2 linked regions of the Arabidopsis thaliana genome follow. The protein of the gene in region 1 interacts with the protein of each later gene in a pairwise test. Each region holds a gene or a part of one and is shown on either strand. Other genes may lie near its edges.

Region 1 (4,268 bases):
GTGCATCTTTTTCATGATAGTTGGTAAACATATAGTATATATAGTAAGCGAATATTTGTATAGGAAAATGAAATGGTATTTTAGGTCATTTTGTATAATAAGTTAAATAACGCATAAATACGTAATTTATTTGAGACTTAACTTTTTCGGTGTAAGCTGAGTGTTAAATCTGTCATAGGACACTACAATCAAATTATAACTCTATATATACTCCATCGACTATATATTGACTCAACATATCATGATAGAATTACATATGAGTCAGATGTAATTTTATGATCTGTTATTGTGGATTCATTGTTAGCAAGCATATATATACGTGTGTTCAGAAGACTAAAAAATTTACTATGAAATGAAAGAACATTTATTTGTTTGGAACAAAAAATGTTTATCATAACAAATTAACCCATTTTTCCACAGAGAACAATACCATTCGTAACCAATATCGAGTAGACAATTCTTTAACAAAACAGAAAGCGACAAAGATGAAAGAAAACAAAAATAAAACCAGGGGAGAGACCGAGAGAGAGAGAGCACCTTTCTGACGTGGAAATATAATCCAATAAGAGCAGAGAAATGTCGCTACAACGATAAGGATATTGTGACGTGGCAAAACATTGGCCATGAACACCACATTACACCACATTCCTTTTGTCTATGTACACTTTTTATTTTTCCAATTTATTTTTGTAGACAGACTAGTGATTAGTGAATACTGAATAATATACGTAAGAAAATTGCAATTGGAAATTTGGAATTGAGGAGTGAGAGCAAATGATTGTTGAATATGGGGACTAAACAACGTGGCATAAGAGGAGTGGTTGGGACGGCTGAACTGGAGTTGGACTTAATCTGTATGGACGGTGCCGATGCAATTGACGGAGCTAATCAATTCTATATGGGGCGGTTTCTCCGGTCCAGTGGACCCAACTTTCATCATATTTTCTACTTTAGTGGAAACATAACCCGTGAAGCGACGCCGTTTCTTTTATCATGTCCATGTGATAAATTATGTTTTTGTTATATGGTAGGGTTAGCTGAGAGCTATCAAAAGACTCTTTTTTATCCACCTAATAGATTTGATTTGTAACGTTAAGAGCATAGGAAGTCAATTTAATCGTTACTAATTACATGCATAAGAACTAGTATAACTATATAAGGAGCTCCTTCTAGAAATTAAATGAAGGATGATAGAATCTAGATAATCAGAAATTTTACTATTGATCAATCTAGCTATCTCGTAGTTCAAAAAGCTTTATCGTTAACAAGTAACAACTTTCAAGTATTGCCCAAATAGATAAGGTTCATAACTTCATATTTTTTATTTATTTTATGTGTAAAAGAGTGACAGTCTATATTATTCTAGGGGGAGGACAAGGCTCATGACATAGGACAAGAGAAAGAAAAATATAGAAGCATATAGTATATTAGGGTCGGTCCAAATGAAAACAACGTTTAGGTATGGGGCGGCGAGGCTAAGTTAAATTAACCACAAAACTCCATTATCAACCATAATTTTAGAATTAAAAGGTCTCTGTTCCTATTGATAGCTCCACAATCATTCTTTTAAATAATCAGAATCTCAAATAAGTTCATCTTTAGTTACAGATTTGTATCAATAGTTGAAGTTGAAACCAAAATAATAATAATTTAGTTATAGTTAATTTTGTCAACAAAACAATACCTTAACTATCATATTATGACAAACACTAATTGAGATGAAAAACTCTTAGCAGTAGCTAATTCTTACTATCATCAGTTAATTATACTAATGTATATGGAAATTCTGCTTAAACAAAAAAAAAACAGTGGAACATGAATATATTAAGCAAAATCAGTTTCTATTGATTATGTAGCAATGATTAGATTGGTTTAGATTATATATCATCATGACAGCTAGCTAGGTAATTAATTAGTGAAAGAAAGTTTCCACAAAAATAATCATAATCGTCATACACACAATTCTATATTCATTTCATTGAAACGAATAATAAAAACAACCATAAGCCTACCAAAAGGAAAACATTATCGTAATATAATCAATCAATAACACGTATACAATTATTAACGTATATTGACAAGCAAAATTAATGAGAGCACTCACTATAGCTATAGTCTCTCTATATAAACAACTTTCATTCGTCTCTTCAGTCTTCACAAACACAACATATCCACAATACAAAACACAACTTTCATATATAACAAAAAAAGTTATAGAAATGGCCAAAGACGTGGAAGGACCTGAGGGATTTCAGACAAGAGACTACGAAGATCCGCCACCAACTCCGTTTTTCGATGCGGACGAGCTTACCAAGTGGTCTTTATACAGAGCCGTCATTGCCGAGTTCGTAGCCACTCTCCTCTTCTTGTACATCACCGTTTTAACTGTCATCGGTTACAAGATTCAGTCCGACACAAAAGCCGGTGGAGTTGACTGCGGCGGCGTCGGAATCCTTGGCATCGCGTGGGCTTTTGGTGGCATGATCTTCATCCTTGTCTACTGCACCGCCGGTATCTCAGGTATCATATATCGAAACCGGTCCGGTTTATTACCCGGTTCAGAAAATTTAACATTTGTGGACCTTTCAAATTTGTCCTTTGTTTTGTAATTTATTTGAAATTAACCCCAAGAACTTTGTAGGTGGTCACATAAACCCTGCGGTGACGTTTGGTTTGTTCTTAGCCCGGAAGGTATCGCTGATTAGGGCGGTGCTTTACATGGTGGCTCAGTGTTTGGGTGCTATTTGTGGAGTTGGTTTCGTCAAAGCCTTTCAAAGCTCTTACTATGATCGTTACGGTGGAGGAGCCAACTCTCTAGCAGACGGCTACAACACAGGCACCGGACTAGCCGCAGAGATCATTGGAACATTCGTTCTCGTCTACACAGTCTTCTCCGCTACTGATCCCAAACGTAACGCTAGAGACTCCCACGTTCCGGTTAGTATTTATTTCTATCAGTTATAAGATCGTTCTGGTAACATACGATAACATTAATTAATACTTAGTGTTATGAATTATGAAACGAAAGGTTTTGGCGCCACTTCCGATTGGGTTTGCGGTGTTTATGGTACATTTGGCCACTATTCCGATCACCGGAACCGGCATCAACCCGGCTAGGAGTTTCGGAGCTGCCGTAATCTATAACAAGAGCAAGCCATGGGATGACCACGTACGTTTCTATTTCTTAATTATTTAAAATTAATCAAATTATGGACTATTGTTTGATGGGAAAATAATGAACTGTTTTTTTGGTCTATCTAAATACAGTGGATATTCTGGGTGGGACCATTCATTGGAGCTGCGATAGCTGCATTTTATCACCAATTTGTCCTAAGGGCTTCAGGTTCCAAGTCACTTGGATCCTTCAGAAGTGCAGCCAACGTTTGAGTTTTTGCCACACAAAAAAAAACCTATCATAATAACAACAATTACAAAATGGTTGTGTTATTATGTATGTACAAAAATTGGCAACTTTGCTTGTAAAACTATGCACTATATTTCTTCTTGTTTTTCTGTTTTCATTGTGGTGTAATACTTTGATATGTGCCAATGCCAATGTTTGTGTACTCGGGAAAACAATTAATGAAAACCAAATTGTTTTGCCTTCTCCTCCCTCTTTTTATTTTATACAGATGATATTACCAGCTAAAAGCATATCTACATAGACTACATTAATAGTTATAATTTATAAGTTCATGTGATTTAAATTATCCTCCACTGAAGAGGATTAAGACAGAACAAAAACTTATGTGTTTGGCACTTTTTTGTCAGCTTGTCGCCATCACCTAATTAAACAACAACTAAAGCACAAGTCAATTGGTAAGATCGTCTCAAATTCAATTAATCTACACCAAAAACGAATTTTGTTGAACACTTAGTTTTGAGTTGACATTCCACTCACTAGTTTAAGCTCATAGAATTTGTAACGAGAGCTTACGCAGGAAAGCTGTTGGTTCAACAACTAATTTGCGTCACTTTACTTAAAGTATACAAACGTCATTTTCAGAAATAACAATATCAAGAAGAGCGTGAACAAAATATTAAAAACCTATAGATGGTCATACAGACAAAAACTTCGAAATTTCTTTAATCCAATGTAGATTATCCAAAAAATGTGCCTCAAGACCAAAATCAGGGTTTTACATAAATCGAAACAATAATAGGAAAACTTTAAAAATTTCGTAACAGTTTTGCAACTGCAAGAAAATACACTTTTGCGTCTTCTTCCGAAGCACCAATCTTGAATTATTAGTTTTTGGTTAGCTTTT
Region 2 (5,591 bases), on another chromosome or scaffold:
TTACCAATAGAATTTGTATATCTAAAATGTAGATACTCACGTCTTGTTCTGTCTCACAAAGCGAGCATATGACCTGAAAAAAAGTAGACCAAAATTGTTATCACAATGAATAAACAGAATCAAAATGTTCATAAACCAGAATGTTCAAAGTTAAAAACCTTTGAAACTTCATGTCGAGGAAGCTCATGTCTATGATGCTGTTCAATATGAAGAGAATCCTGTTGAAACAAACAAAACACATTAACATCTATAACCAAAACTTGTTCTTCACAAAAACACACACACACACACAAGTTACAAAGACAGAGAAGTAAAAAGACTATTCCTTTAATATTAGTTTTCTACCTTAGCTTCGTTGTGGCAATGTCTGCAATCAAAAATCTCATCACAACATGGTGCTCTAATCTTGCATCGTCTTCTATAATGTGAACACCTAAACACACACACACAAGGATAATCAAATTCAAAAAAAAAAAAAAATGAAACTTTAGCTTCAAAACTCAAAAGAAACTCAAAAGATGTTATTTACCCGTAATGCCCAGATCCAATCTCCATTAGATTCGCAAATTCTTGATTTTGCTCATTTTCATGGAAACCCATATCCATACTTTACCTAAAGTTTTGATCTTTCTTACTTGGAATCAACACCAATCAGATATCAAAATTTGTTGAGAGTAACGAAAGAATAAAAGAAACGTAATTTGAAGAAATGTATTGACGACGTTTGGTAATCAGAAACAGAGGAAGTTGCAGAGATGAAAAAGCAATCATGTTGATGATATTTATTTATATGAAGATGAGTGATGACTCAGCAACACGCCAGATTTTTTATTTTGCCTAATCAACAAATCCCATACTCATTATTAAAAAGGTTTTAACGTTTTTGTTTTTTTTGCTAAATATAAATTTTCTTCTTAATAAACAGAAATATTTTTCCACTTGTTTATGGTTTACTCCTAATTGGAATTCATTAGCAGAATACATAATTTTAAATAATAAAAAATTACATAATAGTTAATTTTAAATAAAATACATAATAGTTAATTAGTCAGAGCCAAATTTCATCAACATTAATGAGAAAACTAGAGGTAAAAAAAATTGAAAATGAAAAGTGAAAAGAGATTCGTTGTCGGACTTTTGTTAAAAAAAATATCTTACTTGTAATTATGCATTAAAAAGAAAGTTATTTTTTTATATTCTATTAGAAAAAGTTTAATGTACTAAGTGAAAGTTAATAACATATGAAACACTCGGTTTAAGATTCAATTCAGTTGGCGACTTGGCGGGTCATTAAGAACAAATTTTTGTGGTGTGTGGGTCAATGTCAATATGTCATGTCTTGTTTTTAAAAAGCAGAAAACAGGATAGGATTGGATAATGGATATGTCCTCCAACTTGATGACTCAATTTTTTGGGTCCACTCTTTTATAAATTCTACTAAAACACACTATGGAATACTTTTTTTTTTTTTTGAAGTTTGATATTAGTAGTGTTAAAGTTGTGGGCTAAGTTCTTGAGTTAGATTAGTAGGTAGTGTCAACTCAATATTTGATCTTCAATGGGCTTAGATTGGGCTTATCTTTTGGGTTTGTTATAAAATAAGTATTTGGTAAAATGGGTTAGTTTCTTTTTCTTTTTTTGGTCAACCAAAATGGTCAAGTTTTAGGAAAGGATTAGAGTGCCTAAGTATCATCATTTATTTGTTGATAAGTTTGACCAAAACGTAACAAAATTATTTCGCAACCAAAAAGTACTAGTCAAAGGGGGGCGCCAACTATTTGATAAACAACAGCAACTGTTTTTTTTTTAAAACAAACCGTTACGTTGTTGAATATTTTGACGTTAAGAATAAATTATCAGCGAAAAAAAACGAAATCGATCTTTTACAAGTTTGACAAAAGCATATCTTCGTCATCATCATGACCGATTCTCAAGCACTAGTTCCTGGGCCTTCACCGCCTCATAGCAAAGCTGAAATTTGTTACGGAGCTACTTTTTTCAACATCTCTTCTTATGGAATCATGGAAAAATATGAAACTCCTACTGTTATCTTCGGATATGCATTGCCTCTCCTTGAGCTGCAGATCATTCTCATCTTCGTTTGCATCGTCTTATCTCATATGTTCCTCAGACGTATTGGCATACCACGGTTCGTCTCCAACATACTTGTAAGTTAAGAAAAACGTCCACAACTGTCAATTTCTTGTATCGCAAGTACCAAACGCTTGGTTTCTTGTACTGCAAGTAACAATTTTTTTTTTTTTTTGAACTAGGCTGGTTTGATTCTTGGACCTCAGCTGCTTGATCTTCTGGAGTATTCATCGGACCGATTATCGTTAGACATCCCCGGAAACGTAGCGTTGGAAGGTGTGGCCAGGCTTGGGTTGGTAATGTTCACGTTCTTAATGGGCGTGAAGACCAACAAGAGAGCGGTGTATCAAATCGGTAAACGTCCGATAGTAATCGCGGTTTCGTCCTTTTTCGTGACTATGATCAGCGGGTTAGCCTTCAGAAACTTCCGTCTCGACAAGGTCGACCCTCTTTATATGCCTCTGAGGCTAGCCCCAACAGAACGCTCCGTGATTGTATCGATTCAAGCAGTAACGCTGTTACCGGTCATAACCCACCTCGTATATGAGCTGAAGATGTCAAACTCCGAGCTCGGCCGCATCGCCATATCTACAGCCGCCGTCAGCGATTTCCTTGGATTTCTCACTCTAGTATGCATCTCCTACGTTGGAACATACAGGTATGTAAGACGTCGATTAATTTAGGAATCTAATTGGTGCATTTGCATACAAAACTACTTACCTCATTAAATATACTTTTGTAGTAATCAAAGTCTACAAATCCGGAGACCTAAAGCAATATATATAATGCTCTAAAACTGGTTAAAAGTTTGATCAACGAAAAGTTACCGTTTTATTGTCTATAAAGCAATACTAATTGTTATCTACACAATAGACGGCACCGGAGTGTTTGATTAGTAATGTATATCTACTATCTAACGAACATTATTTGCTATAATAGTTTGAAACGGTCTGCAGGTATGTATCGCCCGGAATAGCCAACCGCGACATAGTGGCATTGATCATCTTAGTCCTTGTGATCCTATTCATCTTCAAGCCAATGGCACAACGAATAGTGGACATGACCCCAGAAGGCAAGCCCGTACCGAAAGTCTACTTATACGTAACAATCCTGACCGCAATCGCCGCGAGTATATACTTAAGTGTTTTCAACCAAATGTACATTCTAGGAGCTTTATTGGTGGGGTTGGCAATCCCAGACGGTCCGCCTCTGGGATCTGCGTTAGAGGCAAGGTTCGAGAGCTTGGTTACAAACATATTTTTCCCTATTTCAATCGCGGTCATGGCGATGAAAGCTGACGTTGTAAGAGCATTGTATTCGTTCGATGACATTTCCTTTAACATACTTCTACTGGGTCTTACAGTGGTAGTGAAATGGACTGCCTCTTTTGTACCTTGCTTGATCTTCTGCGAGTTACCTACTAGAGAATCCGTTATCATCGCCACTATCATGAACTATAAGGGTTTTGTTGACTTATGCTTCTTCGATGTCGCCTTAAGAAGAAGGGTAAAATAATCTTCATCTAACCTACACTCTACATGTATATATATTGCATCATATGGTTTTGAATTAATGGTTGAATGTTTTTTGTTTTCTTTAACAGAATTTGTCGCGAGCAACGTACACGGTCATGATTATTTACGTGCTATTGAACGCGGGGATTTTGCCTACGATTATAAAAGCACTATATGATCCAAAGAGGAAGTATATTGGATATGTCAAGAGAGACATTATGCATCTTAAAACAAACTCAGATCTCAAGATTCTAACTTGTTTGCACAAGCCTGACAACATCTCAGGTGCGATCTCGCTACTTGAATTGCTTTCCTCGCCGCTAAACAACGATAACAAAGACAGAGGAGTCATTGCTGTCACGGCGTTACACCTAGTGAAACTCGCAGGACGTACGTTTCCCATCTTGATACCTCATGACAAGCGGTCTAAAGCGCGGTTGCTTCAAAACTCTTACATACAAACAATGATGCTCGCGTTCACCGAGTTTCAACAAGAGAATTGGGAATCTACCACTGTTAGTTCCTTCACAGCTTATTCTCATGAGAACCTAATGGATCAAGACATTTGCAATCTTGCTTTAGACCACCTCACATCGATGATCATTGTCCCTTCGGGACGAAAATGGTCACCCGATGGAGAATATGAATCAGACGATATTATGATCAGACGTGTTAATGAATCTCTCCTTGACCTCGCTCCATGTTCTGTCGGCATACTTAACTACCGAGGATATAATAAAGGTAAGAAAAAGACCAACAGTATCATTAACGTTGGTGTGATCTTCATTGGTGGTAAAGATGATCGTGAGGCGCTTTCCCTTGCGAAATGGATGGGACAGAACTCGAGAGTGTGTCTTACTGTTATCAGATTTTTGTCTGGTCAAGAACTAGATAAGTCCAAGAATTGGGATTACCTTGTTGACGACGAGGTCTTGAATGATTTGAAAGCGACATATTCATTGGCCAACAATTTTAACTATATGGAGAAGGTAGTCAACGGTGGACCTGCGGTGGCCACCACCGTTAGATTGGTGGCGGAAGACCATGATTTGATGATTGTAGGAAGAGATCACGAAGATTATTCGCTGGACTTAACAGGGTTGGCACAGTGGATGGAGCTTCCGGAGTTAGGAGTCATCGGAGATTTGCTTGCATCCAAAGATTTAAGAGCTAGGGTTTCTGTTTTAGTAGTTCAACAACAACAACAACATGGATGAGTGTAACATATGTCAGTGAATGATCTCAAAAAAAAAAATTGAATTATACTCGCATCATGGGTAAATGTTAGAATTTACATTTGACGTGGAAATAGATTTAATATAATTGATCTAAACAACATTGGTTAATCCATTCATTACCAAATTGTTTTTGAGTAAGAAACTCATGCATATATTGTTCCTAAAATAGTATATATCAAATCAATAATCCGGTATTTTTGAGAGATGAGTTGTTCTGCTCTAACATAGTATACAAAGATGAGTTTGACGCAGTTGGAATACATTGATAAGCCAGTTAATTATTGATTTATCTAAATTTAGTGTTCATTAAAATTGTATTTTAAATGTATGCAAATAATCCATTTCGTACTACTTAGCACAGTTAATTTGCACAGAATTATTCCAAATATCTAAATCTTGGCGCTTTGTTGAAGCAAACACTACTGCTAAAAAATTAAAAAATTAAAAAAATAATAATAATAATAATAAATAAATAACAAAATTGAAAATTTCACCTGAGCTTTAATGAAAAAAAATACGAGTAATGTGCACAATGTAGTTCTATAACCACTCCTATGAATATCCAATGATTTCTAAAACACAGATTATGTAAGAGAAAAATTCAAACGTGAGATATCTCCATTGTTCATCCGAGCTCAAGCACAACAAAGGTTTCAGTGAAACTGATCGAAAAATAAGTGAAAATGTCTTGTATTTTACTTCGATTTCTTACATTGTTCAACATGAAATTTCAAACTATTTTAACCTA

Evidence for each region.
Region 2: the proteins of PIP2B (region 1) and CHX9 interact in a protein complementation assay, tested with the Arabidopsis thaliana proteins (one large-scale study listed by BioGRID).

Annotation. Positions count from the first base shown.
Region 1 is NC_003071.7:15,612,743-15,617,010, reverse strand, and holds PIP2B (plasma membrane intrinsic protein 2), read left to right. Parts: upstream 1-1,988; 5' UTR 1,989-2,090; coding exon 2,091-2,520; intron 2,521-2,641; coding exon 2,642-2,937; intron 2,938-3,028; coding exon 3,029-3,169; intron 3,170-3,267; coding exon 3,268-3,387; 3' UTR 3,388-3,643; downstream 3,644-4,268.
Region 2 is NC_003076.8:7,660,158-7,665,748, reverse strand, and holds CHX9 (cation/H+ exchanger 9), read left to right. Parts: upstream 1-1,919; coding exon 1,920-2,168; intron 2,169-2,273; coding exon 2,274-2,749; intron 2,750-3,047; coding exon 3,048-3,597; intron 3,598-3,694; coding exon 3,695-4,822; downstream 4,823-5,591. Other genes in the region: AT5G22920 (CHY-type/CTCHY-type/RING-type Zinc finger protein), read right to left, coding at 41-73, 159-218, 346-433, 530-606. UniProt on the Arabidopsis thaliana protein: May operate as a cation/H(+) antiporter.